Linked DNA regions of Oryzias latipes. The main gene of each other region encodes a partner of the protein of the gene in region 2 in a complex. Links are inferred from orthologs where the notes say so. Each region holds a gene or a part of one and is shown on either strand. Other genes may lie near its edges.

Region 1 (15,314 bases), on a different chromosome or scaffold from region 2:
TGCATTATGACGGTTGTCATAGCGACAATGAACATGATTTTGTGATGAATATAGTCTTTAAGCCCCCCCCCAAAAAGAATTTTACATTAAAGAAAACATTCAAAAAAGTGTCGAGAATGGTTTGAAACGTATAAAAACAGTATATGAACCATGGCTTGAAAGCGGGCATGACTCAGCACTTGGTGGTAAAACACTTGTTTGGGGATCAGAGGTCAGACATTTCTTGCAGTTGGCCACCACCCTCTCTCACATATCATGTGTAAAAGCAGATATCATGTCACTTGATTTTGTTTTGTTTTGTTTCTGACCCCCCGACCCCATTACACGCACGCACACGCCAGATCTTAAGATTAAGATTGTTTCAGTTGATAAAAAACTAAACAATTTACAGCATTTTTTAAATTAAAAGAAGGAGAGAAGTTGACATCATGTAAACCAAAACCTTCAGAGGTCTTTGTTTCTCATCGTTTGATGTTCCCTCATGATTCCAGCTCAGGATTACATTATTTTGCATCACACAAGCGCCTGGAAATGCCTCAGTTCTTGCTCCTCGTGGACGGCTCTGGACGCTTCTCTCTGTTTGAGTCGGTTTTCGTGCGGCGGCACTAATCTGCAGCAGCATTAAGGCCTCCGCTGAGCCGCTGCCCAGCTCCTCCTGTTCTCCACCAGCCCCCCCACAGGCCCTCCGGATCCCTGGAGGCGGCTTTTCAGCCAAAGACACGTCACACACTGGCAGACTCTTTTATTGCATCATTCAGTACAAAGACATCAAAAAAGGTAACAATTTCTCCAAAAAAATCCTGGAGCAACTTCTATGCTGTAATAAAAATAAAATCAAAAATATTCAATAATAAATTTGGATGGCACATAGTTATTTTTAAACATTCAAAAAGGTTAGTGCACAAAAATCCCCTTCATTTTCCCTTAAAATATTACTACATAAACATTATTAGTGGTTTAGTATATTGCTAAAAATCCCGCAGAAGTCAGTCCCACAAACTACATCAACACACAAAATGTTAGATTCTCTTCTGTTTGCAACAATTTCAACACTTTCTTAAAAAAAAAAAAGGATTTGTTTTCATGGATTTGTTTACATTCTCACACTGTAAACCCCATTAAATGTGTTAGTCACAAACAGAAAAATAACAAAGGTTTGTTCATATGCTTTTTCTTTCATTTACTAGTCTCATTTTTGAAGTGTGCTTTAAGACATTATCTATGTTTTCTGTTGACAGATTAAGAGATCTGAAATGTTGAAAGAATTTTGATTAGAGCCGACAATTTCTAAGGATATATTTTCTGCTTTTCTTGTTTAAGATGCTGCTTTCTCAGGAGAAACCTTAAACTCTGAACTTTTATGAAGACGTGCCTGTTTTCAAAACACACTTTTTGAATTTTTTGCACAAGAAAGGGACAAAAAAAAGGCATTAAACTTAAAGACAATCATAATTTTAATTGTTCTTAAAGAGGAATGAAAAATAATTTAACAGTTAACAGCAGAAAAAGGCTTTTTTTTGTTTGAAATGAACATAAAGCTGTGTGTTTAGTGTCACATTTGTAGCTAATGGTTCATGACGATAAATTAGGCACTGCGGGTTTAGACGACAGGAGAGTCTTCGGGATTGGGGGCCTCCATCTCTGGTTTTTCGCCTTCCTTGGAGTCCTCGCCGCTGACAAGGTAGTATGGAGGCGTCTGTCTTGCCTCGATGATGAGGACGCCCTCAGGGGATAAGGAGGCAAACACTGTCAGGGGGTCTACATCTGTGGGGATCCTGAGGATTAAAGAAAAGACAATAAAACGAGAGACAATGTTTATTTTCCATGCATTTTAGACAGAGAAGGCTGGCTTATCCACAAATGTTCTGATGAGACACAAAAGACAAAACCACGCAGGTAGGTCTCCACGTCTTTTTTACTTTTATCGCTGAAATTTTCAAAAAATATATATAAATTCTGCCTCTTTTGTGATTTATTGAATGTTATTTTTGATCTGAGATGAACAAAATGAAAAAAAGACTCAGATGTGAGAAGGGTTTTTAAGATTCTGATCTAGCAGATTTAAATTATGACCCCCACACACAGACAAGAACAAAAGCTGTTCTCTGTCCAGCATTGCAGCCAAATAAGGACACGGCGGGCTTTCTATGTGAGCAGTCAAGTGTTATTCGGAGTTCATATAAACAGCAGGCTGCCATGTTCAGAGGAGGAGGCTGCAGGACTGAACTCCTTTTAATTAGACGGGAGCCTCCACCACCGTCTTCCCACTCCTCTGTGAAATACAGAGTCAGCTGAGGAACATGGGAGAAGGCAGACCTAGACATCTGCTGAAGACAGTTCACTTTAATAAGACATACAAATGTGGAATATCAATGGAAAAGTCATAAAAGTTTTGATCAAATTTTCCTTCATCTAAAAGTGAGTCTAAAGAACGTCTTTTCAGGCAGGAACATCTAAACAAAGTATCTGAAGGGTGGGGCGGGGTTAAGTGTACCTGGAGATCCACACGCTTAATACAAACAGAACTTATGCCAAATATTTTTACAACAAACTCATTTTTACTGATCATTTTTACTCCATGATTTCTCCTAATTAGTGTTTAGCTTTACACCAAATATGTAAAACATCACCTTTTTTTTATTAAGAGATTTTTTACTTTGCTTTTCTACTCCTGCTGTTTTTTACTGAGGTAGGATCTGTACAAAGGAAAAAACAAGAGTCAATTTTTGCTTCCAGATAGTAAAAACTAGAAAGAAAAACGTGCTACAGTACGTTTAGTTGTTGTGTTTTCCCCTCTGTTTTTACATCAAAATAAGTTCTAAAAACATCTGATCATATCTGTTTGATATGAGGAGAATTTGTAAGATTTACACAATTGTTTTTTTTTTACTTTTAGCTTTGACAATTTAGCTACAAATGCAGTTTTGTTTAAATGCCCGTCTAATCCATCCATCCATGCATCCATCCATGCATCCATCCATGCATCCATCCATCCATCCATCCATCCATCCATCCATCCATCCATCCATCCATCCATCCATCCATCCATCCATCCATCCATCCATCCATCCATCCATCCTCTAAACAGACTAATTCTTTAACACTTAGTTCTTTTAATTACTGTAGCTTTTTAACTGCTGACGTAACTGTCGCAATTCTAAGAATTTCTGAAGCTGAGAAAAGCAACTTGGGTGATGTGCAATACTTTATGCCAACATGAAACATTTCACTAAAGCTAAAGGGTTGCATCGCTGCGCAATCAGAATTGAAGATGCAAATAACATGAATTGCATAAACAGTCGTGGAGTTAAGAAAGTTCAAGGAGCGTTACTGCCCTTTGCCCATTGCAGGGCAAAAAAACTATTTTTTTGAGGAATTTAACAAACTTTTCCAATATTTAGCTGCAATCTAAATGAAAATTATTTTGAGTGAACCTTAACAGTTGACCAGCAGGAGCTGGATGTGTTTACAATCCCCTTAAGCCACCTAGGATCTTGTGGGCATAACAGAATTGTTAGTCCTGAAGCCCACATGGGAAACCCTTAAGGGGTAATAAAATTAGAAAATGTGACAAAGAGTTACAGGAAAAAGAAATTGATCACAGAGAAACTATTAACACGGTTGAAAAAATAAGCAAAACAGAAAATATCTTATGGTGCGATTACTGTCGCTGAGAGCCGGCATTAATCCCAGATCATTTTAATCAGCTTCCTTCAATAAACCAATTTTTGCGAGGCAAAGTGGCTCTTCTGACAGTCAAATCACTCAGAGTGGTCATTAAGCAGACAGCTCGGGGAGTTTCATTCAAGTTTGGCAGGCGCACAGTTTATCTTAAGCATTGATTCTGTACAGCTGCCAGAAAATGGTCCGATATTCTTTTAGCCTGCAGGGGTTCTGAGGAAAGACAAGACATGAAGGCCACGGGTGGAGTGAGGTTGTGTTTATGTGTGTAGCTGACACGCTCGGTCCTACACACCACACACACATACCATCGCACAACACCAGTTAGGAGATTTGAAAATAACAAGCCATTTTACAGACAAATGCTGAAGTCTTGTCTTACAGAACAGTGAACCTGACATAAAAACATCCTTTCTGCCTAAATACTGAACTTTTTTTTTGCTCTATAAACCCTAAAAATTGATGGATAAACCCTTTTATTAGATCTTATGTATTTAGCCTGAACATTTCTATTTTGTGTCTTTCCATGTTGCCTTTTGGTACATAATAAAGTGGTGAATCCTGTCTTTTTCAAGCTACTTCCACTCCTTCCATTGAAAGTTTGCCCTAACGTTCTTGCCTTTCTTCCCAAAAATGATCATCATAAAAAAACAGAAGAAGGGGGCTGTGTGAAAGTAGCTCACTTCCGATCTTCCCTCTACCTATACAACATGTAAAGTTTGGATGTGAGTACTTTGCTCTACAACAGGACAATAGGACAGCGGCTGTAACGCTGAAAGCTACAAAGCTAGCGTAACAATGTGCAATTTAGCGCTAGCTCATGAAATCCATTTTTAAAGATTATTCGATTCTTTTAAATTGACTTTTCCTTTATAGTCTTTTTCTAATGCTGATCAGAGTTCATTTTGGGCAACATCGCCCCCATGTGAGCAGCTGTTGGAACTGCAGGATTTCTCCAGGTGGTTTGTTCTGCATGGGCGGATGTTTATCTGCATCGCTGCCCATTCCGATCGGGTCAGCCGAACTGCCCCATCATGGAAAAAACCCACAAGACAATAAAAACTGCGTGAGTTTGCCAGTTTGGCAGCAATATTTTCTTTCTTTAGAAGCCCTAAGAAAAAAACGTGTCTGGCAGGTTTTACAGACAAACGTCTATAAACACATTAGCAAGATTTAAAGACTTCTGGAAAGATATTAAACCCCACAATGTAAAAGTTTTAGGACATTTTAGAAATTAATGAATGCTGTTTCATTTTTCTTGAAATCAAATTCCACGGATGCTGCTGCAAAACCAACTCTGAAGAAACATTTACATATTTCCACAGACACAGGTCTGGAATGATCTGAGACTCTCTTGAGCTGAAAAATCTCTGCTTCATGGATTCTGAGGTTTACGGATGGTAATCCGCAGCTGCCATCATACTCACTGTATCTTCTTTGTGAAGTTCTTCGTCACGATGCCGCCCTCCTCTTGCTTCTCTTCATGTTTTCCTGTTAGCAAAAAAGAGAAAATGCAGATCAGGAGATGGGCGGAGACACTTCAGAGGTCAGGAGGTCAAACTGGATGCAATGACTAAGCTGTGCTGGCGCACGCGACGGCTCATGTGACGGTTTGAATCTGCCGTACTGACGCGTTTAAAAGAAGTGTTGATGTAGCTCAGAATACATCTCTGCTGCTCCACCCTGGAAGCAGCTGCTCCCTGGCTGCGAAACGTCAACGCCGTGGACAAAAGTGCACCCAACCCCGCCCTATGACCCCTTTCTGTGCACTCCAGCCCCGTCAGGGTGATACATTACACCCCCTGAGTGACGGCTCTGTGTGGCGGAGTTCACCAGAGGCCTTGCAGAGGAGGCTGCCATGTGAGATTGCTGGGAAGACTCCAGCATGACTTCATGGGCGAAGCTGATCCCTGTGGACATTTCCTGAAAAGGTGTGGTCAGAGAGCAGCTCAACAAAAAGACGTCTCCATTGGTGTTGAAAGCTGTCATGACAAGCGGATGACAAATTCCTGATGTGGTTTTGTTTCATGAAGAAGAGGATGAAATCACTGAAGGATTTTCCCCCAGCGAACCTCAAAATTAAGATTGTTCTTCAGAGGAAGAACGCAGAAAACAGCAAAGACCAGATTGTTTTTGCAGTTCTTCTTTCTTATTGCTTCGGAGCAAAAATGTTCCCCGGCCACATTCGAAAACTCAACAAACCCCCCAAAACTTTTTTTGTGCCCAAACGAAATATTTCAAAATCCACTAACAAAACCCAAACATGTATGTAAGGGATATTCAAAGGCAGTTTTAAAATTATTATGGTACAGGACCGACAGCTTGGTGGTCATTTTGTGGCAAAGTGTGAATTTGGCGATTTTCCCACGATTTGGGACCTGTTCAAGCAATCTTTACTAAATTTCACACACGCACTGCCAGTTTAAGTCCACATCCACAGCCAAATTCCGCTGAGTTTTGGAAGAGGCCGCCATCTTGAATTTAAAAAAAAAAATCCCTTTCGACTTTCTAAAATTTGAAACTCCTCCTAGAGTTTTCAATCTATCACCTTCGCGAGCATCAGTGGGAAACTAAAAAGGAAAAAGACATTAGAGTGGCAAGCTTGCAAGAGTGGCGTTTCCCTGTTACTCACACATTTTTTACCAGACTATTGTTACATTTTAATACATAAGTTGTTGGCTCAAGCTGGAAAAAAAATAAAAACAATAAAAAAACACTGTGACATACAATACAAACATATCAGGAACGTGAGCGTGATTGACAAAAAATCTCTGTTGCAAAGGAAATCCCAAATTTTACTTTTGCCAATTCTTCTAAAAATAACATGGAACTGTTTATCACCTCCAGGTGACCAAAAAAATAAAGTGGTTGCTATGGAGATTAAACCAATAAAAAGCTCCCATTTTGAAAAAAAGTTTTTTTGTTTTTAGGAATTTATTTTCGCAGTTCTGAAGGCAGAAGGGTGGTAGTGAGGGGTTGGGTGGCAGAATTTCGGCCGGTCAGGGTGAGTCAGGAGGAGGCTGTGGGTGGGGGGGGTGCATAGTGCCTGCAGGCCGTACAACGCAGCTCCTGGCTTATTGCTTACATGAACAAGCAGATCTAAAGATGCAAAACGAAAGCATCTTCATTTTTTTTTGTTCTTAGCACATCTCAACTCAGAGCAGCACAGACTGTGTCAAGTCTCTTAAAAGGTTATTGACAAGCTACAATCCAGCCAGACGTTTATTCATGAAATAAAAGCTAACCCTTGATCAAAGTTTCCTTAAGTTTGTTTTCAAAGGCCCAAGTTGTTAAGCAGATAAGCTCTGCAATTTCCTGCACTTTTGGATCAATATGCTTCTCCATTGCAGAGACCTTAACAGTCTTCTAGAAGCTGTTGCCAACCAAACTTTTCAAATCAGCAGCTGTCATCCTTTTTGAGCCACATAAACCATGTTTACCCTGCAGCAGCTCACGCTGTACCACTCAAATGTGTCTCAATTGAAATGGAGTGGGACATCATTTCCCCACAGACAAAAGAAACAATATTTGTTTTAATTTGGTTATTTCTGAAATGGTAATCATGTTTTTTAATCAATTGAGATGTGCAGCTACATTAAAAGAAGAAATCAAATACTTTTTACAGTTAAAAAATGCATTTCCAAAATGCTCACATTTGCTTCCAACAGTTGAGCTTCATCTTGTCTAAGACTGAACACTTAAAAACAGTTTTTAAAAAAGCAAATTGAATAAAGAAAGAGGCTTTGTGAGTATAAATGCTTTTACTTTGAAATACGTTCCACGGGCCGTGCTATCCTCTCAGTGAGAGGTTTTGTTGATCTCTCAGGTTATCTTAACATTCCAGCAGTTCGTTTCAGTCGTTTCCATCAAGCTGGTCAAATGGATCATGTTTTGCAGTTGGTCTATTATTGCATTTATGCTTAGCTTTTCTTTTTTTGTTAAAAGTAAAATAAACAAAAAACCAACATGTTTTATTTTTTAATCCAAATGGCATCAGTTTGTCTGGAGGAGTTTTAGAAACAGTACTGTCTAGTTTTGTAAAACTAAAAACTTCTAGCAACTTTGTATATAATTTCTGTTGGTTCATAGTTATGTAATGAGAATCTATTATAAACTCAGAAAATAATAACAATTCCAAAAAATTCTCATGCTTCATTTGCACACTTCAGGGAATGTAATGACATCTGTATGCCACTAAGTGTCCTTCTCCCTTATTAGACTGAAGCCTCAAAGCTTCCAATTGATTTTCTTTGAGCAAAACAAAAGTAAAAGTGTCAGAGTTGATCTAATTTCCACAGTTTTGATTGGTCTTGTGTTTCTCTTCTCCTTAATGCTTTGTCTTCTGTGCTTCTGTGTAAAACTCGAGTGTTCAACATTTGTTCACTCAGCTGTTGGACACCTTTAATTAGGTTGAATGCATTCCCTGCCACACTTTTAGAACCACTTGAACCACTGTGGCAGGAAGGACCAAAATGGCGCCAACCCCAGCTGGCATCCCACTGACGTGTTTATAAAAAACCCAGAGCTGAGTGAGAGGAGGAGGTTCTCCGACCTCCTTGCCCTCTTCAGCTCAGGGAAGCCTTGGAATAATTTGACCCTAAGAGCCTGGAGAAGAGGAAGCGTTTCCACATCTTCATCCAGCTATAGTCTGCATCCTGCACCATTACACTCGGAAGAAGCTCCAGCCCCTTCCAGAACATTCTTGCTCCAGCCTAAATCTAAATCGAGCTCATGAGCAGCTAAGGGAGCGATTTTCCAAGAATTCAAAAACAGGTGTCCAAGCCTAAGTATCGGCTTCACAACTTAAGTTCCAGACAGTCTTCAAAATCTGTCCTGAACTGAAGATTCAGAAGATTTTCCAGACAGAGCAGGCTGCTTTGGTTTCTCAGTAAAAACATGTTTAGTTTAGTGCTTTTTATCTTATAATTACGTAAACATTCAGAAAAAGCTGGAGAAGAAATTAAGAGTGTTGTTTTATTTTTAGCCTGAACATCCTGGAAACAAAGATGGGGGCTCCAGTGTCTTAAAAGTGATAGACGTGGCCTACTTTTACACTTCATGTCAATGATTTTAGTTGTTAATGTTTTGCACGTTAGTTTGCAAACAGAGTCAGAGTGTCTTTTTTTTAACATTAGATGCAGCAGGTTTGCGCACTTTGGCCCCAGATCATTAATCATTAACATATTGAAAGTTATGAGACATTAACACTCAAAGGTCAGGGTCACAGAATGGACCCTCAAAGTTTTGCCCTCTGATTCAGGCTGAAAGCTCACCTGACACCTCCACGAACCCGTCCCTGGTCTTCACGTTTAGCTCCTCTGCTTTAAAGCTGTGCACGTTCACGCACACTTTCCACGGCTCCCCGCCGCAGCTGGTGGGGGAGCCCCGGGACTGGGGCTCTCCGTACCGGCTGCTGGTGTAAACCGCGGGGCCCCCCGTCGACTGACGCGCGGGGAAGCCTGTGCGTAAACCGGTGCCAAACGGCGAGGCGCCGAGGCGCGAGCTTAACCTGCCCGGCCGAGCCCACCCGGGCCAGTCCATGCCCAGATCCTCGGGGAAAGGAGGCATCCCAAAGTCATCGTCCATAAAACGGGACGCCAGTTGATCTCTGAAGGGAGACTGATCCCTGAACGGAGACTCAAACGGATCTCTGGGGAAGCGCTGCCGGTTTCCCATGGTGTAAAAGTCTCCCTCTGCCATCTCCACTTCAGCACAAACTCAGAAACTTTTTGGAAATGGATTGGTTAAGAACTTTCTCCTTATTGAAAAATAGTACTTCTTCGGGAGGGGGATAAACCTTATCTGATCTGGAGCGCGCGTACCGCCCGTTACGCGCAAAAGCCTATCCGCTAAACAACATCGACACGGAGCGCGGGTTAAATACCCAGCTGGGGGCTTCACGGGGCAGGAAAGTGCTGGGAGGCCCTCGAAAGGCCCTACGCTGTAAAAAATATAAACCCAGAACAAAAAAACAAACCTCAAAATTTCACAATTACATAACATTCATAATTACATAACATTCATTTAATCAAAACTAACGTCTAGCGTTACGTGCGTGAACGCAACGAGGGAAAGTACTCCAAATAACGATAACATTCCCGGTAGATGTAAATATTTCTTTTAGTGGAGGCGCAGCAGCTGGGGGAGGACCCTCCCCCCGTGACTCATCATGTTTTAATAGAAGATAACTCAGAGCTGCTGCAGGTCTGAAGTCACACTGAAGAAGTGACACCTGAACTTCTTCGTGAAGATTTGCTGATGCAGAAAATCCACCTGCAGTGACCGAATGAAGACTTTCAGGATGACGCATCAGACACTAAACAGCTCAGTGACATGCAGCCAAAGATGCATCAGCATGAAGGGGAAATCACCAGTGAAATAGTCAATGGAAACTTAATATGACTCCATAGGATTATTATATATTTTTAGAGGTAAATTTAGTTTCAGACTTGATTACTGTTAAATAAATAAATCACCTAAACCACATCAGCTACTAAAAGATGATAAGAAAATTCATGTGTTTGAAGGTTTTGTTCTTTCTGCTAAAATAACTTTTTTCTATCAAATCTGTATTCTTGCTAATATTAAATATGTTTGATAAAGAGAGAAAAAAAGGAAAGTTCAGCCCTGTAACATGTTACTTAGTATTTAGACAATGAGCTGTTTGGTCAAGACTAGAGTTTGTCTTCTGTCACCTCATCAAACAAGTGAAAACAAAAACCTCAGTTTCCTCAAACACAAACATTTTCACTGCAATATGAATGCAGATGGACTTTGTAAAGGACTGAGGTGAAGAAGCAAAGGAAGGGAAAAAAGTGAGAAGTGATTGACAATGGTCTGTGGCCAATCAGACGTAGAACACAGCGTGCTGTATTAAAAAAAAAAAAGAAAGAAAGTGACCATTGGCACGTAATTCTAAGATACATGTTGGGCGGCCAGTGCTGAACTTTTTTTTTGGCCACACTTATTTTAAACACTGAAAATACGTGGTTTAATATAGCCGTACTTAAGATATATGCTGTGCCACTCGGTATCCATGCGTGTTTTATCAATCACCCCTTAAAATACCTGCTACCGACCACAAAATTTAGCCTCAGATGCACTTAAAATATGTGCGGGCAATGCAGTGATGTGCTTAGCCACAAGGATTACGTCCGTTTTTGTGCTTGGTCACACTTAAAATATTGTACTGGTAAAAAGTGCAAAACAGTGAGTCCGCAAAGGTGAGCCACAATATAGCGAGAGGTCGCTGTATAGCATGTGAATAGCAGTTTATCCACACTGTGAGGACATTTACTTGTTTTGCTGTTTCATTTCGTAATAAGCCACACAGTGAAGTGCAGAGACTCCACCTACTTTAGGAGGAAGGAAAGTGCTGCTATAACTACAACTGGAAAAACACTTAAACAACACAGATCTACAAAAAAAAACAATCTTTTTATGGTTGATGGGGAGCAGTGAAAAGCTGCAAAAACAAGCGTGGCGTCATAAGAGATGGTGACTCTGCCAGTGGACATTTTTCAATTTCACCTGTTTGGTCTGAAAAACAGTTATCATTGCCAGGATACCATCTCTGTGTTCATCCACACAGGGCCAGGTTTCACACTAAGGATGCAGGTAGAAGTTTAAAAGATCATAAAACATCATTTATTTCCGTTTGATTCTTATTTAAAACACAAACAGAAGGTTCAATTTTGTAATTTTATTTTTAGATCTTCAGTGTGACTTTGAGCTGTAAAAAAAAGTAAACTTTCGCTCAAAAAAGGTTGAAAAATGCTGATTTAAAAAGAAAACAAATGTGGGAGTCACTTTTCACCTGTTGTTGGAAAGCTGAGAAAGGTTTCAGCGTTCCTTGTCGCCGGACTTTCCCATCTTCATTTTTATTTCAATTGACTGCTGATAAATTTTGAACTTGTTTGAAATCTAACATGAATCTCGTCACATTTACAAAACTATACACTCTTCATCCAAATAACTGCATCCATAAAGCCTCAATTTGTTAAATCTTACTTTTTAACCTCCATGCAAACTAGAGCAGGTTGATAACGTCTATGTTTATAATAATTAGGTAAACAAAAACGTTATTTTTTTTTATTTTAAATGATCATATCAACTTTATGTGTAAATAAAATATCAACACATGTCTTTGGGAATTCTTCTTGTTTAGTCTTTTGGATAGATCTTCTGTAAAAATATTCATGTTGTTTATGATTTTTGTTTATTTTCCAGTAAAATCAGGATCAGCCCTCTGCTTCTGCCCTGATTTAAAGATAAAAAACAGTTTGGGGGTTAGGTGGTGGACAGCAGAAGTACATAAAACCTTCACATGGCCGCTCTGTCCTGAGGCAGATCAGATGTTCAGCCGTCTAAGAGTCATTGAAGCAGGTTTTTCCTCTGGTTGCATTCAAATGTTGCTTCGGCCGCTCTCTGTTGTATTACACGCACTGACATTTCAGCAACACCCCCCACCCCATGTGATCAGAGGATAAATTAATCTGACATTTGAGCTGACAGGCTGTTTACTCTGTGTCAGCCCACCTAGGCTGAGAAAACATGGTTGTTTTTGTGGAGAGATCAGAGTCAAAACCTTCCTGAACGGTGTTTTTCGCAGACTTCCCTCTGCAACATCAGCAAACTAAACGTCTAATTCTTTTCATTTTTTTCTTCCTGTTCTTTTAACTTGTTCTGTCCAACAACTGAGCAAACAGATGAGCGCTGAAGTCCTTTTGTGTTGGACAGGTTTTGCTATTACAAAAAGGGGTTATGAATCTTCAGATAGCCAGGATGTAAATTTGTTTAAACCCCTTTGTGTTTTTTTGTTTTTTTATTCTTTTATTTATTTGTTACATTTTGTGTTTTAAGTATATATATACATATTCTTTTTATTAAAGGGGAGGGAGAGGGGGAAAGTGTGTGTGTGTGTGTGTGTGGGGGGGGGGGTAGAAGAAAAAGAAATAAAGAGGGAGGGGGAGAAAGTGAGGGGATACAAGTGCTAAATTGCTAATTTGAATAGGTTACGATTCTCAGCTGTGAAACATTTATACTAGATCTGCAGAAAGGCAAATATTACATCCAAACATGAAATTCTGACACTAAGATAAGTGGAAGATATCCATGTCCATCAAAAACACTGTGGATTAAAGGATTAAAGCAGATAGGGAGCAGTGTGCACGTGGGGGTGGAGCTACATGCACCCTGCCAAAGTGAACCATGTGATCATAAGAGGAACCAGATCCTCCCCAGCCCGACCAGGAGAGATGGGGAGACCCCCGGACCCGGAGCGTCCCAAGCCAGGTGCAGAGGAGGCCCCCCGACAGGGGCCCCTCCGCCACCGGGAGGCATAGGCTAGCCCAGCGTCAGGACCCCCAGGCCACAGGACAGGCGTGCTCCGCTGTACCAGGCGGAAGCCACTGGGGCCACCGGGCGCTGGACACCGAGATGCGGGCCAAGGACGAGGCCAGGGCCCAGAGGACCCAGGAGCCGCCCACCACCCAGCCGGAGCCTTGTCACCGCAGGCCAGCCCCGGCGCCCGACCCAAGCAGCCCAGAGATCACGAGGCAACCACAGCTCCACCCCTACCTCCCCCCACACTACACTACCCTCTGCAGCCCCCCTCACCCAACACTTTTCATTTTTTAAGGGAATCAAATGTTTAATAAGTCAGCATGAGGAAGGTTTTGCGGGATCATTTAATGGTCAGAGTGCAGACACATGAACAGTTTGGCACATGGATTTGCACTGAATAAATACAGGAAGAGTCCGTTTGGATCTGCAGTCTCAGGCTGAGCGTTCATGCAGGAGGATGCAGAACAAGAACAAAACGCAGAAAGAAAAGGACTGTTTTCCCCAGCTTCAGACACTAATGCCTCGTTTTCCTGCGTTTGATCAGCAAACTGCGGCTGCGGCTGCGACTGCGGCTCCCGCAGGAGGAGTTCCAGGATGAGCTGCGACTGTAGCTCCTGTAGGAGGAGAAGCTGTGGCTGCGGCTGCGACTGCGGCTGCGGCTGATGCTGTGGATGGGGCTTCGACTGCGAGTGAAGATGCTGCTCCAGGACGACACGCTGGTGGAACGAATGCTGGAGGGGGGGCTTGGCCGGAAATAAGGAATGGGCCTCTTCCTCGCACTGAAGAAAACACGAAGAAGAGCCTGCTTTAACTTTCAGTATTCTCACACTGAGGAAGCAGTTTTAAACTTTTCCTTCTTTAAACTATTCATTAAAAACTAGCTCCATTCAAATTTTTTTAGCCAAAAAGTAACACCAAAAGCCCTGTTTGTTTTGCTTCAAACTAACATTTTTCCACTTCCTGTAAACCGCAGGGTTTCTTATCTCCAGTCCCTGGGAACCACCAGCTGCCTGATTTCAATGTTTTCCTCCTCAAACATACCGGCTTAGGAGATCTTTACGACCTCTCAGGTGAACTCCTGCTGAACTACTACATCAGGTGTGTTTTAGCAGGTAGCACGCGGGTGAATGAAGTGGAGAAGTGTGGGGTGCCAACACTTTTTCTGCATAAGAGCAACTTTAAAGCTCCAAAAGATATATATATATATATATATATATATATATATATATATATATATATATATATATACACACACACACACACACCGGTATATATAGGCCTTTGTATATATATTTATCATATTTCTATACTTAAATACCAAGAATTCTTATGAAAAATTGAATTTAAAGTTAATCAAAAAATTATTCAGGGATACGTTTAGATGCATCTAAATGCAGTCCTCTGTCATTTTTCCTTTAATATCTTGATGAAATCAACCTGTGTGTTGGTTGTCATGTCAACGGCGCCCCAGCAAACGCTGGGTCGACGACAGAAATGTTCTGTGTGCGTTCTGTTGGAGGTTCTGTTTAAGTGTTGGAATAAGGCGCATTAGCAAATACATCCACGTTTAGGAGTCTGACACTGAACGCTCACACCTTTCCGAAGTTTAGGAGGAAGAAAAACTGGGATCTGTCCCTCAGCGTCGTCAAACACACAGGCATGTGTCAGAGAATGTTTGATTGGGTGGTCTGCATGTCAATCAAGCGACATACTTTATGGCGAGGATGATCATTGGCTAATGGCAACTTTTAAAAATATATTCTTATCTGTTGGTCCCCAATCGCAATCGGTCTATCGATCTTGATCAGCATATTGGGAACCCCCCCCTGTTGACACCAAATCACCCAGATTTTCTATATTTTAGATCAATTGCTTCTCCTTGAGGCCCAGGCAGCTGCAAGTGGGGCTCGGCTTTGGAGCTGCTCTTACTTTAGATCAAAGTTCTGTGAAAATGTTCATGTTCTTCGTGATTTCTGTTGCTGTAAAATCTCACATAGTTGATTTATTTTAGCATTCCTGCATAAATATGATTCCGGTAAAGTTTCAGGTAAATCACATTGTGATTTTTTTTCTGCAAACCTTATGGTTAAAAGCAGTCTAAAAGTTTGAACTGTATTTGTCTAAATCAACTTTAAAGAACATTTTTCTTCTTTGCAAAACACCTCGAAGGGCTTTACATAAAATAAATAAACAACACAAATAATTGTAATAACAATAATCACAACAAAAGTCCACACATGCCAAAATATAATACAATAATCCTAACTGTGATTTCTGAACTAAAAAGT
Region 2 (15,328 bases):
CAGAAAACCGGCACAGATCCTCGTGTCTGCACGAAGGACAGAGTGTGGCTGTGCACGTGGATCAGCTGCTCCGTCTCCACGTAGTTCGCCACGTGGCCGTCCGTGTCCACGCCTCTGCGCTTGTACCGCATCCCTGAGGAGGCAGAATGGAGCGGCGGCACGTTGATGATGCGCTCGACAACATCAGCCAGGGGAACGACGGCCATCGTCTTCCTAAAATCTTTCTACATTTATCCTCTGAGTTTGTCTTTGTTGTCTTCTGTCTGCCTGCGTTTGATCAAACTAAAGTCAAACTTGAAGCACATAAGCTTTTAGTGAGCAGAAAACATCCAGCACCCACCATATATTAACAGATTCTGAGCATGTTCTGGCGGTTCCTGCCAGCTCTGGCTTTGGATCAGAACCGCTGATCCCCTCCGGTTTACCTGCACGGTGCCGGCTCCGCCTGGAGATCAGGGCCACCGTGAAGCGAGGGTGGATGTCGTCCACACAGGTGATCTCCTTTGGTGGAGACTCTGGACTGCTCCGCTCCTCATCGGACGTTTCGTTGTAATTGACCACCAGCTCCTCCACCTGCACAAAGCCCTGGATGATGGGGGTCACCCAAAGGTCGGCCTCTGGGACCTGGAGGGACGCGGACGGACCGCAGGAGGTTAAAGCAGTGAGGTCACCTCTCACAGAGAAGAATGCGGCGAGTATGTATCTCTACCTGGAGGTCGATGACGTCTTGGATCATGTGCTTGTTCCAGAAGAAACGGTCGTCCACCTTTTCAGCAGATGGACAGTCAAAGGTGAGAAGACACTTCCAGACGTACAGAAGATACACGTCCGTCCTGCTCCCCACCTGCTTCCACAAGGGTAAGCCCGACCTGTCCGAGTCTCCCTGGCGCTGCACGCTGTTGGTCAGGTCATAGGTCAGGCTGTAGTAGAAGGAGTCGGAGTCCATGAATATCTTGTAGAGCTCTTCCAGCAGGCGCCTCTCCAGACGCTCCTTCTCCTTGTTTTCCTTGGCCTGGAAGGCAGGGGGATACTGGGTTGGTGCAGAGGAAAAGGAGGAAGAAGAGCCGTGAGTTTCAGGAGGCAGAGAGAAGAGCAAACACGAAGACGGAAAAGTCCTGCTGAAAACAAACAGCCCTACCTTTTTCTTGATGGGAACCGCCACGTTAGATTTGATCTGACTGAACGTTTTGATCAGAAACTTGGAATCCTCCGGAGACTGGACCAGCTTCTCAGGCTTATCGATGCCAAAATGATGTTTTTTGCAAAGCTGAAGAAAGAGGATCCCGTCAATCATCCCGGACCAAAACGGAACGCTATCGGGACGATGAAGAGGGATCTAGTGAGCACTTTCACTACACTGAACTCTACCCGCCTAGGTCTAAGTTTAACGTCTTCTCTAAAAGCAGGATCTCAATGGTGGAAGAACCACAGATGAGGATCACAACTGATCCTCTGAACTATGCTCCTTTTTACTCACTTGAAAATATTCAGTCTCATCGTCCATGAAGCTTCCCTGAAAAACTGAGATTTTAGCAACCGTCTTCATCGTTTCCTGCCTACATTTAAAATCCAGTCACGCCTCCTGCGTTCAGCAGCCAAACGTACCTCCAGCTCCAGCTCCAGAGGCTCCTCGTCCGACAGAGGAATCACTGCGATCTTGGTGATCTTGTAGACTTTGTGGTTTCCGGGTAAATGACCCACCAGTGCTTTCTGACGGATTAAAACCAGGCCCAGGGGCAAGTCTATCAGGGGAGGAAGAAGATGAAGATTTCTCATCTGCATGGAGGTGGAAGAGACCAGCTGCTGACCAAACGTTCACAAACACTATTAAAGAAATATTTGAATCACGTTTCACACCAGCAAAGTCACTGAGTCATCAGGACACTCAAACTACAGCCAGAGATTTTAACGCCTTTACTCGTCCACAGATTAGGGAATGAGTCGGCGATGATGCGTTCAGGCGCACCATCATTGCCAGAGCGCGTCTGTTCCACCCAAAAAGCAATGAAAGAGAACTCTGGACATGTTTTTCCACGTTCCACCCACCTGTGTGAAGCTGGATCTTTCCAACGATGCCTTCCACCAAACCCAGACAGACCGGATTCCAGGCCAGCAGCAGATCCGTGGCTGAGACAGAAACGTGAGAGCAAACATCAACGGCATGAATGCAGCCCAACAGGCTGAGAACGGCCTAGGCGGGTGCTGAAGAGAAGATTTAACGTGTTCTAAACATGACACCAACACAGTTTGAAGAAGCTCTTCAGTCTGTAGAAAGGAGCTGCTGTTCACCCACAACAACATGATGTTTGAACATCCAGAACCCGTGTAGGAAACTGGAAAAGGGAAGGTTGTGGGTTTGGGTGGCGAACCAGCCGGAGTGGCAGCAGACAATGACTCTTCCTGTTCCACAGTGAGTGGATTCAGACCAGCTTCTGCAGGGAACGTTTGCACGGTGGCCTTTACCCCGGAGTGGAAACACGGCTCTGCTCCTGACAGCGGTCCAAGCGCAGCAGTGAGCAGCGGAAACCCGTTTTCCAATTAAATAATGAAACAGCTGTGCAACTAAAAACCTGTTCAGGACAGCTGCACCGCCAGGGAGGGCAGGAGGAAGCAGCCTTCTGCCGAAACCCCTCTGTGTCTGCAGCACCTGGAGAACCACTGGAGGGTCTCCAGGAAGGATCCGCTCGTCTGGAGGGTCTCCAGAAAGGATCCACTCATCTGGAGGGTCTCTGAAAATGATACTCGTCTGGGGTCTCCAGGCGTTAACGACTGACTTCTTCCTCACTGGCGAGCAGAGCAGAGTCCTCCTGGAAGCCCTGAGGGAACTTTGGAGTCTGTTGTGGGTGTTGGCAGGTCGCTCCGGAGCCGGGAAGTACCGGGAGGTGCCTCCCGGCTCCGCGCGCCCAAACCTGCCTCCTCCTGACCGGACAGTGAGTCACCGCGAACGGTGACTGATCTGGGTTAAGGTCACTAGACTGTTGAGGATTGAGCGGCAGCTTAATAAAGAGTCTATATAATATAAACACACATGTGGGTTTAAAAATGACACGTAACGAACATGCGCGCGCCGAGGCTGTCGGTACCAACTAACCCGCTCTGAGTGTCACGGAGCCGTCCTTCCGGCTGCACCACAGCGCCCGGTCCCCGCTCTGAAGAATGTACTCGTCTTTGGCTTGAAACAGCTCCATCTCCTCTTTTCTATCCACCAGATCCGCCGTCCTTCCACTCCCGCGGTCGGGCTCGCGGCACAGATGTGAAACGTCGCTAGCTTAGTTACGATTAGCCAATTTTCCCCACGGAGCGCCGGCTAGCAGCCTGCTAAGCTAGCCGGTCATTTCCTTGCCTTTCTGCCCACGAGGAACGCGCTTTGGACGGGGTGCTCCGGCATCCTCCTCGCGCTCATCCCGGCCGCTGAGAACGCAAATAAACATCCGTGCGTCTCTACAAAGTGTCCCGGGTGGGAGCTGCGGCACGACGTCACTGACGTTTCCTGCCCCCAGCAGCTCGCGGCGTCATCACGCACGCTCAGGTCGGTGGATCAAAAACAAGCGTTTAAAATGCAGTTCCAACCTCCACATATGGGGGCAGTAGCTGCAAAAATGAGTTCACTCTGTCCAAAATAACTACGGCGAAGAAGTCCTTCAATTCCAACAAGTAAGTTGAGTTGATATAAAAAGGAAAAGAAACGATTTTTAAAATTAACTTTAGACCACAATTTAACCACCATAAGCACAAATCAGTCATAAAATACAGCAGCTGATGGTTAAAGTAAACTAATCAGACTAAAATAAATGGGCATCCCTGCCTCCTCAGAAGAGGCTCTAATTTAATCACCTTTTTGCTAAGAAACAGTTTTTAGCCAGCAGCTGTTCACACTTAGTGTTTAAATTTAACCTTAACACTTTACACATTTATTCACCATTCGTTTGGTTTATCTCAGATCTTTTTCTGTACCTTCAAACTGAAAACTCTTCAGGTTAAAAGTCATAATGGAGAAACCACATCACGTGAAATATCTGAAAATGGTTTTAGAAATCTGCTGTTCAGCGGAATGAAAGCTGTGTATTCCTACCTGGTCCCGTCAGTATAAACTCTCACGTTTCGGGCGGTGTGAGCTGAAGACCCCACAGGCCGGCCTTTGCTTCAGCCGTCCCTGATGCAGGATGTCTATATCTGCATTGTGGAGATGCTGGGACACATCTGTCCATCGATCTTTTCACAGCCGCTCTAATCCTGACATCTGCCCGTTTTTTTGATGCTTCCTGCTGCAGCGTCTCTGAGGATGTGATGTCGGCTTTGCCATCTACTTTAATATATTCCACCCACTGGGAACATGAAAATGCATCTGACAGGCAGGAAACGATTAGAGCTTCATCTCTTTATTTGAGTTGTTTTCACACAAAATTACCAAAACATTAAAATATATAGTAAAAAACAAATTTGCAGAATCTGTAGGAACAAAGTGTTTGAAACATTTATTTTCAGAAAAGCCAGTGTGACTCGATTTCTGCCAACGGCTATCAAATCCTAAAGTCAATCAGCCACAATCTCTAATCCTGTAGAATCTGATTATTAGTCCAGGACCAGAAGAGGGGGGGCATCATAAAAGTAACGCTGACGTGCTCAAATGTTTGGTCGTGTTGAAGCCGTCACGGTTTCACTCCGACAGACCTTTGGTGATCTACAGACATTCTGACGCCGTAACACGCCGGTTTGGTTAGCAGCCGACGCTGATTGTCTCCCGTCTCAAACAGACGACACATTTCACCCCGTGGGTCAATAAACATTCAGAAGTGTAGCAAAATACTGTATATACTGATAGAAAGATTCATGTGGGACTGAAGTCAACCGACTGATCCAAACTCACTCAAATGATCATCCTTCAAAGACGCGTTGCTGATTCTCAACACGTTTCAGTGACAACAAAGTGCAAACACAACTCCAAAGGCAGTGCACACAAGAAGCAGCATGTAGTAAAGATGTGACTGTGTTCTGTGACAGAGCGGCTCCATCATGAGCCCTCAAACACCGACCCGTGTGCTTACTCCACCAGAAGACGCGTCACACCGTTTCCTGTCAGACTAAAGGCAACGACACATAGACTCTGTTAGGAAAATACTGGGATTTCTCTTTGATGCTGTAATAAAGGCCTCATTTCAAACTCAAATTTGCTTAGCGGTTGCCGTCAACGCCTCACTGATGGTCGCAGTCAAATTTACAAGGACACTGACGGCGAGAACGATGGCTCAAAAACGAACGGCGCTGAGCTACCATCAGTTAAGTGCTGAAGGAACAAACGACCACTGAACGCATGCAGCTTCCACAAACGCTTCAGGCGGAGGAGTCCGCCGGCATCCTCTGCTCCTGAACGGGAGCTCCTCAGAAAATCTCCTTGGCCGTCACATAATGTTCCTTGGACTCTCCTCTGTCACCGTCCGCCGGCGTCTCACTGGTGGGCTTGGCTGGCCGCTCCTCCAGCTGTTCCAGCTCCTCCAGTATGGTCTGAACCCGCCGGACTCCATCGCGCCGGGCCTGCCGCACATCTGCGCGTCCCTCCGGGTCGACAGAGTCCAGAGCCAGCAGCTCTTTGGTCAGCAGCTCCTCCAGCAGCAGGTATTTCTTATCATTTTTCTTCCCGCTGAAAGCCTTGGCCTCCTGCTCCAGCGAAGCCACCCGTCCCACGATCTGCTGAACCTTCGCCAAGCCCGGGTGAACGGCGCCCTGCTCCCCCTCTGCTCTGGTTGGGGGGGCTTCAGGGCCGGCTGGGTCCTGAACCTCTGCTTTTGGAGGGATTTGAACCGTGATGTCTGCAACGTGATGCTGCGGCTCCTGGGACTGAGGCTGCTCCAGATGTGGAGCGTCCACCTCTGTGAGCTGCGGTTGAGGAACCGGCAGGTTCTCTGCTTTCTGCAGCTCCTGCTCCACTTTCTGGGCCGGGTCTCTAGTGAGGAGGTTCTGCTGAGATCCAAATAACAAAGTTACAGTTTTATGTCAGAATCTGGGACACGCTGGCAAAAGGAAAAGACCGGAAAGCCCACCTGCGGTCTGTCCGCCTGCAGCTGCGATACCGTCGGGGACTGGCTCCTAAGCGAAGGTGGGAGGCGGGCAGACGCTGCGTCCCGGTGCTGCGGGAACAGCGACGTCGGGGAAGCACTTTCCCGAGAAGACGGCGCCGCAGAGTAGGCGGGCCGTTCGTCTGTCTGGAGGCGCTGGTAGGGGGCGCGCTGAGAGTAGACGGCGGGGTTTACCTGAGGCGGACCCCCTCCGCCCTCATGGATGACTGGAATAGGAATGTAACCGGCCTGGAGGCCGGTGCTGCCGGGTCGACACGGTTGGTGGTGTGTGGCGGTGTGCACCTGAGCAGCAACACAGTCAGAACGCAGTGAACACGTTTGGTCGCACAAATGTTACCCGCTTCAGCTCATGCTGGTCCCTCACTAGATCGCCGGCCACCTTTTTATAGCCAATTTCCATTTTACTTCACAGCTCGCTATGTTCTGCATCCTGATTGGCTGTTGACCTTGTCAATCAATCTCCTCCGTGTATGAAATGCGTTATTTTGAAAACTCCCACTGTAATCAAGGGTGGCTGTCAGTGAAGAACCCAAATGTTACCCGTACCTCTGTGGTTGGCGGCGTGGGCGTGCTGGCCCTCCCGGGCTCAGAGGAGCAGCTGTCTGAGGCCACGTGTAACGGCGATCTGGGCCTGCCGTGAAGTCCGGAGGCGTGCGAAGGAGCCTGACCTTCGTACCGGACACTCTGCGCTGTGCTTGGCTGGATGTACGTACAGCAGGGATGCGGCGGCTGCTGCCGCAGCTCTGCGCCCTCATGGAAGACGGGGATGGGGATGTAGCCGGGCCGCAGAATCGGGTGCTTCATCTCTCGGGTAAAGGTCTTCTGGGTCTCCTTAGGATGTTGTTCTGGAGGTATGTTGGGTCCGTTTGCTTCTCTACTCTGAAATATAGGCAGGGGAAAGAATTTAGAACCAAAAAACCTTTAAATTCATTAAAAAAACACACACAAATCTCAGGTAAAAACTTTAAGACTTCCACCACTGATTCATCAGTGATATTTTGTATAATTGTGTATTTGTGCTTCTATAGTGCTTTTCTAAAGCCTAAAGTGCTTTACACACTCTGATGGGGGCAGAGCAAGGCCAGAATCAAACCCGAGACCTCCTAATCCAGAGTCAACCGCTCTACCTCTGCACCACAGCTGCTCACAAAGCCCCCGTCTCATGCTGCCTCCATGTTTTCCAGGTGTGTTTTCCAAATATAACGGTGCTTTGGGCCGTTGACGTCAGGTGAGCGTCTGTGCAGACGTCTGTGTTCGCGACCGTCCGGCCGCAGGTGGAAATCCTCCACAGATCCACGTTCTGCCTTCTCCAGATCCACGTTCCGCTTTCTCCAGATCCACGTTCCGCTTTCTCCAGATCCACGTTCCGCCTTCTCCAGATCCACGTTCCGCTTTCTCCAGATCCACGTTCCGCCTTCTCCGTCCCGGGTCACATTTCCTCACCCAGCAGCCAAAAGTGACGCTGCCCTGCCAGAACAACCTCTGCATTCCAGCCCGGCAGCTGCTAGTTTGCCTCCTGAAGATGTGTCCCTGTGCCCAGCGCCCCCCCCCTCTGACCCCCAACACGCCAACATCACACAGGACAGCACTTTTAATCTGAAGGAGACCAACTGTTTGTCTTTTTGAATGTTCTTTATGGAACAGGTCACCGCTGTGAACTATTTTCCTCCATGAAAACCGATCAGACAGGAAGAGAATTTAAAAATAAAAGCACGAGATGTCAGGAAGAAGTGAAGGAGCAGAGAGCAACAGGTCTGATGCCCCCCCCCCCTCCCCAACCAAAGGAGACCAAAACCTGGAGGAAAACGGTCAACAATCGGTACCCCGTCGGTGTCTCCTCCGGAACGACCCTTTGCCCTCTGCCCGGGACCGCCCGCCCAGCAGCCCCCGCCACACACAGCAGCCCAGCCGCGGTCCCTGCTGGGAAAATGACCTTAATGTGAAAACGGCCCCCCCGTCCCGGCCGCCACATACTGCAGGGTGACTCATCGCGTAATAATAGTTATGATGACACGAGGACATGGCGGGACCGATCAGCCGTTACCACCGACAATACAATGTTCCGCAGAAACAACCAACGCAGATTCCCCGCGAGCGCTTCCCGCCGGGGAAGCAACTTTGCCCGCGCGCTCCTTCACCTTTGTCGCGACGTGTCTCGGGTCATTCCAGGTTGTGGTTCGGTTGTTGTGATCCACGAAAAACGGCCATCCGGTCTGGGGGTCGATTTTGACCTCCCAGCCGAGGGGCAGGGGGTCGCTGTCGTTGTTAGCCATGGTCGGCGCGGGGGCGCGTGTCTGCACGGCGCTCATGCTGCTCGCGCTCCGGTACTAAGACATTTTATACGGGCGGCGGGCGCTTTAAAGACTCCGTGGAGTGACGTGGGGAAGTGGGCTGGAAGCTTCTGGAAATAGCAGGGTTAACTGTGGGGGCGGCAAGGGGGGCGGGGGGGGGGGGGGGGGCGGAGCTGCAGATCCAAGCCGGAGACCCCCACGAGGGTTTACCGAGAGCAGCTCCACCTGAAACGTGACGACGGACCGGAGAGCAGCGGAGACGACTCCATCAGAGCCCAGACGGGGGGGGGGGGCTAAACATGTTCAAAAACACATGCGTGCCTCCGGCGAGGAACACATGTTCAATGAGATTTGGTCACTAAATAAACTAGTCCAATTCTATTTTATCATTAAAAATGAGTAAAAATCTACAAACAAAATGAAAAATCAAAAGGTTCAAACACAACCCCCCCACAAAGAGACAGCTGCTTATAACATTACTCTGTTTTCCAGTCCAGACAAACATTTGCTTTCATCAATATTTCATATTAAAGCCGCTTTTTGGAATCTAAATTCTAGTGGATACTATCTAATGATTATGTTAAACATATATGAAGGATCTAAACTTTAAAACAACTTTAAAAGATTTAAAAACATACAAAGTAGTCATTCTAAATATGTGCAGCAAACAGCTGTTTGATTATCAAACTGATATTTGAAACCATTGTTATTTATAAATAGTTTAAATTATGTCAAATGCTGCAAAACAGGAGAGTAAATTATTCATGTTGAAAAAATTAATAAATAATTAGGAGTGTGACCATTAATTTTACCTCAATCCAGATGGAATTTTCTAATATTGATTTAATTGATTTTGACACGAGTTTATAATGGTATAGGTCCACTCGATTGTACAAATAGAAATTAATTAATATTAATTAACTATTAATTAACTAGATTAATAGTTAAACTCTTAATAATAATAATAATAATGTCCTTTATAAAGATAAGGCTAAGCTTTCTGTGACTCTATAAGGTCATGTCAGAGACTGTTTATGACTCACCATATATACTGGGATAAACTGTTTATGGGTTAGAGTTATTGTAAAATAATCCATTCTCCCTTTACTATACTGTTGTTATAAGGATAATCACATTAGTGTCGTGTGAATTAATTTTTTTTCTTTACATTTAAATTTTACACTAAATACATATTTTATTTATCTTCATCACTCCAAGGCTGCTGCAATTACATTGTATCACCATATACAATGACAATAAAATTATTCTGATTAGTCAAAAATCTGTAAAAAGAACTCTACAGGCTACACAAAGCCTAACTTTATAAAGCACACAGCATCAAGTCCGGACATTACAGCAGAGTTTAAACAGAAGAATAAAAATAACTCGATAGCTGAACATTAAAACATGAAAGGTGTTTAAAAACAAGTTCACACGCGCTGACACCTGACCCGAGCTTCCAGAAATCCCCTCTGTTCCAGTTATAGCTGACACAAACGGGCATCGTCTCAGGAGGGTCCTTAAAACAAGCGAACCCTTACTTCCGCTTAAAATCTAAGGAAATGACGTAACGTCAGGGGAAAAAAAGACTTTTCTCTATTGCCGTTTAATAGCGTCACCCTGAAATAGATGATTGATACAGAAAATCTAACCTTCGTTTTTCAAACGTTGCATTTTCTTATAAAGGTTATAAAGGTTTAAATTTAGGCTACTTCACCTTTTCCGTAGGACAGGCTGTTACGCATGCGCAAGAGAAACACTCATGGTCTGACGTACGCTCTGTTCCCGTCAGTTAGCATCTGAGGAGCTGGGTAACTAGCTGCTTTGTATTTGACACTAGTGTCGCTAAATGACAGCTAGGTATTAAGCAGCTAACGTTTTAGGACCACGTGACTTTCAGCATCGATCATGGACGACGAAAGCCACCCCAGAACTCTGTAAGCCCCCCTCCCCCGGTTGTGTCATAGTGTTTGCTAACATCTGGAAATATCGGCTAGCTTAGCTTGTCAATGTTAACCCGGTGTGTTCTAGCTTTCCTATATGTGGCGGTAATGTAACCGCAAAGCTTGGAACGAAATAAGACTAGACTTAGTTTACGAGGATATATATATATATATTTATATTTTCTACTAGTTCATGGAAAGTATGTGTAACGGGATCTACATAACCTTACTCTAAACAAATGCAGAATAACATAGAAAGATGTTACTTTTAACTGGATGGTAATGATGTAAATCCCGTCTCTGTGCTTTAGGTACGTCGGAAACCTTTCCAGAGATGTTACCGAGATTTTGATCCTGCAGCTCTTCACCCAGATCGGACCCTGCAAAAGCTGCAAAATGATCACAGAGGTACCGTTCACCAACTCATGTAAACACACAACCATCTCATGGTTAGCAGGTAATGGAGCATTACTGGTTGATGTTCAGATTTCTTTTGGTATTAGTATCTGACATAGGGCTGGATCGATTCGTTTTAATGATTCCATTCATATAATTTGTGGTTGATGATCCGATCCTCTGTCCTAAAGTGGATCCAGATCCTCTTGATCCAAACTTCCAGCAGTGAGACTCAGACAGAAATTCCTGCTACTGAACTGTTTTCCAGATTCTTGGATTTCTTCCAGATCATCAAGTTAAATGAAATCTGTGTCCAAACCAACAAGTAAACTAGAATGAATGTCAAATCCATTCACATGTTAGTTTCCTAAAGTTCACCACTGTTGTTTTTCCACATCCAAAGAATCCAAAGGGAACATTCTTAGAACATTCTAGACACTGGATGGTCACATGACTTTATTCAAAGTCTGTCCACACATTGGACTGGAATGATGGACTGATGTCACATGTGTGTCGTCTGCTGTGATTGGTCGGTTTTACCTTAGAGACACATAAATCTATTGTACCTCAATCCAGATGGTATCTTCCAATTTCAATGTAATCAATTTATTTCATTTTGAAATGATTTTATAATAGTTTAGGTCGATATGATTTATAAATCGCCTGACAGATGGATCTGGTTGGAATAACCAATGAATAGTTTCTTCTCCACTATCTGATTTAATTTGTTTTTCTACATATGAAAAAATGTAAATAATGTATAAAAAGAAGAGGAATAGATGTCAAAGGTGGAAAAAGCAGATTTTTGCAGCACGAAAATCAATCCTGAGGATTTTCTCTTGGAGTCTAAACAGAAACTGTCTTTTCTTTAGACCCTGTAGCTCTGTGGAGCAGATTTCACACATTCAGATTTGTTTGATTGGGAAAAATATGAGATGAGATGCAGAGAAAAGGCAACAAATAAAAAGTAGGTTCTATTTCCAGACAAACGTTAAGATAAAGGTGAAGCATGTAACCTTTTGGTGATCACAAATGTGACGTCTCAGGTCTGGTGAGAGCGGTTTTCATGGAAACGGATTTGCGTATGAAGGTGATAAAGCGTGGAAGCATCTTTGTAAATCGTTGGGGTTCATCTTTCTTCTTGCAGCACACTAGCAACGATCCCTACTGCTTTGTGGAGTTTTTTGAACACAGAGATGCTGCAGCGGCTCTGGCGGCCATGAACGGGAGGAAGATTCTGGGAAAGGTACGCTTAAATATGTTTACAGCGTCTGTTGCTTCTAGAAAAAATAATAGGAATGTCTTTCTAGTTTCCTGTGATGGGAATCATTGTGAACTCTTCCTTTCTGCAGGAAGTCAAAGTAAACTGGGCCACCACCCCAAGTAGCCAGAAAAAAGACACTTCCAGTGAGTTTGCACCCAAACCCACAGATCATTTTCCTGACGTCAAGCTGTGTGAACCAACAGGAAGGAGTGTTTCTGACCCGTTTGCTTTGGTTCTAGATCACTTCCATGTGTTTGTGGGTGATCTGAACCCTGACATTTCCACAGAAGATGTTAGGGCTGCTTTCACACCGTTTGGGAAAATCTCGTAAGTTTTTCTTTTAGTTCTTTTTCTGCGTAATGATCCTAAATGGACTTGTATTGTTCTGCGTGTTGAGGCTGTCCTGCTGGCCTTTACTCCGACGTCTATGAACACGTGTGCATGATAGAATCAGGTCACGGTTAAGTTCACATACATGTTCCATCCATGCACTGTCTGTCTGCTGTCGGCATAAACACGACAGCCCCGTGGAGCTCCTCTTTCAGCATAAGAACCAAAGGGAAATGAGTTCATTCCAGTTGGACCTTCATGGGATGAAGACATGTTCGGCTGGACGTTTCCTACCGTCTGGTCAAACGGATCCGTCCTGGATCTGCTTTGGTTCAGAGCGGTCATGTGACACAAACATTTCAGGCTTTTTCATAACAGAGTTATGCGTTTGTGTGGTGGAACTGGAACACTAAACATCTCCAAAACGTTTGTTAGTCGAGGCTACGTTTCCACCTTCTTGATGTTTTTAGGATTTTTAAAGCTCTGACGGAAAACATCTTCCTGCATTGCATGTAAACCGGGTTGAAGGTCGATGTCAGAATATGAGCTGCATATTTGAGCTTTTGTCATGAAGAAGAGGCTCCTCTGAAGAAGAACACGCCTGGCTGGTTGTTTGTTCTTGTTTTGTAGACCCTTTGACATGTAGGGTGTGGTAAGTAAACCATACTACAGCGCTCAGCTCTTCTTTTTGAACCTGATCCGCCTTTAGACGTCCGTCTCCGTGTAATAGCACTTTGGTTCTAGGATTGTACAGAAGCATGAAGGCTAACAGCAGCAAACTGCAGACTCAGATGTAGATTTCTTTCTCTACTTATTCTATTTTTTCATATAACTTTATATAAACTAGATGATCACTTTCCAGTCATCCGTGTTTTCCTTTGAATCTGTGTTTTGAATTGTCTCATTTTGATTTGTTTCTAGTGCAATGATCCTCTTCCAAAATTTCTGAAAATGTCAATTTCTCAAAACTTGCAGCTCCCCAAACTCCGTACAAGCATTGACCAGGAAAAATAAAGAAATCTGTTAACAGGCCACGTATGCCATTTAATTCCTTTTTTCTCTTCTAATATTCTCTATATATTTCTATCTGTAGGAAGAGCACCAACTGCAGATTTTAAGAATGCATGGTAATCCATATTCATTCCTTTGTGAATATTAATCAATAGCTTACTGTTGTGAGAATTGAGCCAAAGATGGTGCTCTGCTGGTACACATGCAGTAGTATCAGAGTATTCAGTACCCTAGGCTGCATGTATTTCTTTGTATTTGTTTTTTGGTTTTCTTCAGTGTTTCTTTGAAGTTATTTATCAGTTCAGTGCTCTCAGTAAACTAGGCCATGCTAGCATAAATACATGACTGTAGGACAGCATAGAGGAGTCACAGTTCAGTGTTTTTCGTGGTTCCTGTTAGTTTGAAGGTTTGATTTGTGGCTTTATCGAGTCGTTTTCCTCTTTGCTTTTAGAGACGCCCGTGTTGTGAAGGACTTAACAACCGGAAAGTCAAAGGGGTATGGATTTGTGTCCTTCTACAACAAACTGGTAAGTCCCCGAGCAACAGCTCGCCCTGAAGGTCACAGCTCTTTTCCTTATTCTCCTTAGAGGGCTTTTCTAGTCTATGGAATAGAAATAATGTGGTCAGTAATAACAAGAGTACAGTGGGAGCAGACAGGCCCAAGGTGTCACCCATATGGCTCAACCCCCGTTTGGGTCAACCCCCCCGTATGGGTCAACCCCCCGTTTGGGTCTATCCCCCGTATGGGTCTACCCCCCGTATGGGTCTACCCCCGTTTGGGTCTACCCCCCTTTGGGTCAATCCCCCGTTTGGGTCTATCCCCCGTATGAGTCTACCCCCCGTATGGGTCTACCCCCCTGTTTGGGTCTATCCCCCGTATGGGTCTACCCCCCGTTTGGGTCTATCCCCCGTTTGGGTCTACCCCCCGTAATGGTCTACCCCCCGTAAGGGTCTACCCCCCGTATGGGTCTACCCCCCGTATGGGTCTACCCCCCGTTTGGGTCTATCCCCCGTATGAGTCTACCCCCCGTATGGGTCTACCCCCCTGTTTGGGTCTATCCCCCGTATGGGTCTACCCCCCGTAATGGTCTACCCCCCGTATGGGTCTACCCCCCGTATGGGTCTACCCCCTGTATGGGTCTACCCCCCGTATGGGTCTACCCCCGTTTGGGTCAATCCCCCGTTTGAGTCAATCCCCCGTTTGGGTCTATCCCCCGTATGGGTCTATCCCCCGTATGGGTCTACCCCCCGTATGGGTCAATCCCCCGTTTGGGTCAATCCCCCGTTTGAGTCAATCCCCCGTTTGGGTCTATCTCCCGTATGGGTCAACCCCCCGTTTGAGTCAATCCCCCGTTTGGGTCTATCTCCCGTATGGCTCAACCCCCGTTTGGGTCAACCCCCCCCCGTATGGGTCTACCCCCGTTTGGGTCTACCCCCGTTTGGGTCTATCCCCCGTATGGGTCTACCCCCCGTATGGGTCTACCCCCCGTTTGGGTCTATCCCCCGTATGGGTCTATCCCCCGTATGGGTCTACCCCCCGTATGGGTCTACCCCCCGTATGGGTATTCCCCTCGTTTGGGTCAATCCCCCGTTTGAGTCAATCCCCCGTTTGGGTCTATCTCCCGTATGGGTCAACCCCCCTTATGGGTTTATCCCCCGTATGGGTTTATCCCCCGTATGGGTTTATCCCCCGTATGGGTCTACCCCCCGTATGGGTCTACCCCCCGTATGGGTCTACCCCCGTATGGGTCTACCCCCGTTTGGGTCAACCCCCCGTTTGAGTCAATCCCCCGTTTGGGTCTATCTCCCGCATGGGTCAGTCCCCCGTTTGGGTCAATCCCCCCGTATGGGTCAAACCCCCGTAGTGGTCTACCCCCCGTAGTGGTCTACCCTCTTATGGGTGCATGCAGGGCTCCAGACTGTGACCAATTGGTCGCATTTTGCGACCAAAATTTGAGAGTGTGCGACTGAATTTTACATCCAGTCGCACATGTGCTACCCGTAAATTTGCCTCCCCCA

The links.
Region 1: bag3 (region 2) and hspb8 share a complex: the UniProt entries of both Homo sapiens proteins name them as parts of the chaperone-assisted selective autophagy (CASA) complex. The link is inferred for Oryzias latipes from reciprocal best matches to the Homo sapiens genes BAG3 and HSPB8.

Annotation. Positions count from the first base shown.
Region 1 is NC_019867.2:3,766,218-3,781,531, reverse strand, and holds hspb8 (heat shock protein beta-8), read right to left. Parts: upstream 9,559-15,314; 5' UTR 9,382-9,558; coding exon 8,955-9,381; intron 5,173-8,954; coding exon 5,109-5,172; intron 1,776-5,108; coding exon 1,601-1,775; 3' UTR 728-1,600; downstream 1-727. Other genes in the region: srrm4 (serine/arginine repetitive matrix protein 4), read right to left, coding at 13,541-13,805. UniProt on the Homo sapiens protein: Involved in the chaperone-assisted selective autophagy (CASA), a crucial process for protein quality control, particularly in mechanical strained cells and tissues such as muscle. Displays temperature-dependent chaperone activity.
Region 2 is NC_019873.2:29,853,470-29,868,797, reverse strand, and holds bag3 (BAG family molecular chaperone regulator 3), read right to left. Parts: upstream 8,461-15,328; 5' UTR 8,384-8,460; coding exon 8,213-8,383; intron 6,954-8,212; coding exon 6,621-6,953; intron 6,357-6,620; coding exon 6,039-6,356; intron 5,959-6,038; coding exon 5,380-5,958; 3' UTR 4,359-5,379; downstream 1-4,358. Other genes in the region: inpp5f (phosphatidylinositide phosphatase SAC2), read right to left, coding at 1-133, 426-624, 710-766, 845-1,030, 1,139-1,267, 1,606-1,742, 2,047-2,127, 3,092-3,188; tial1 (nucleolysin TIAR), read left to right, coding at 10,274-10,302, 10,620-10,716, 11,852-11,950, 12,057-12,111, 12,208-12,295, 13,761-13,836. UniProt on the Homo sapiens protein: Co-chaperone and adapter protein that connects different classes of molecular chaperones including heat shock proteins 70 (HSP70s), e.g. HSPA1A/HSP70 or HSPA8/HSC70, and small heat shock proteins (sHSPs), e.g. HSPB8.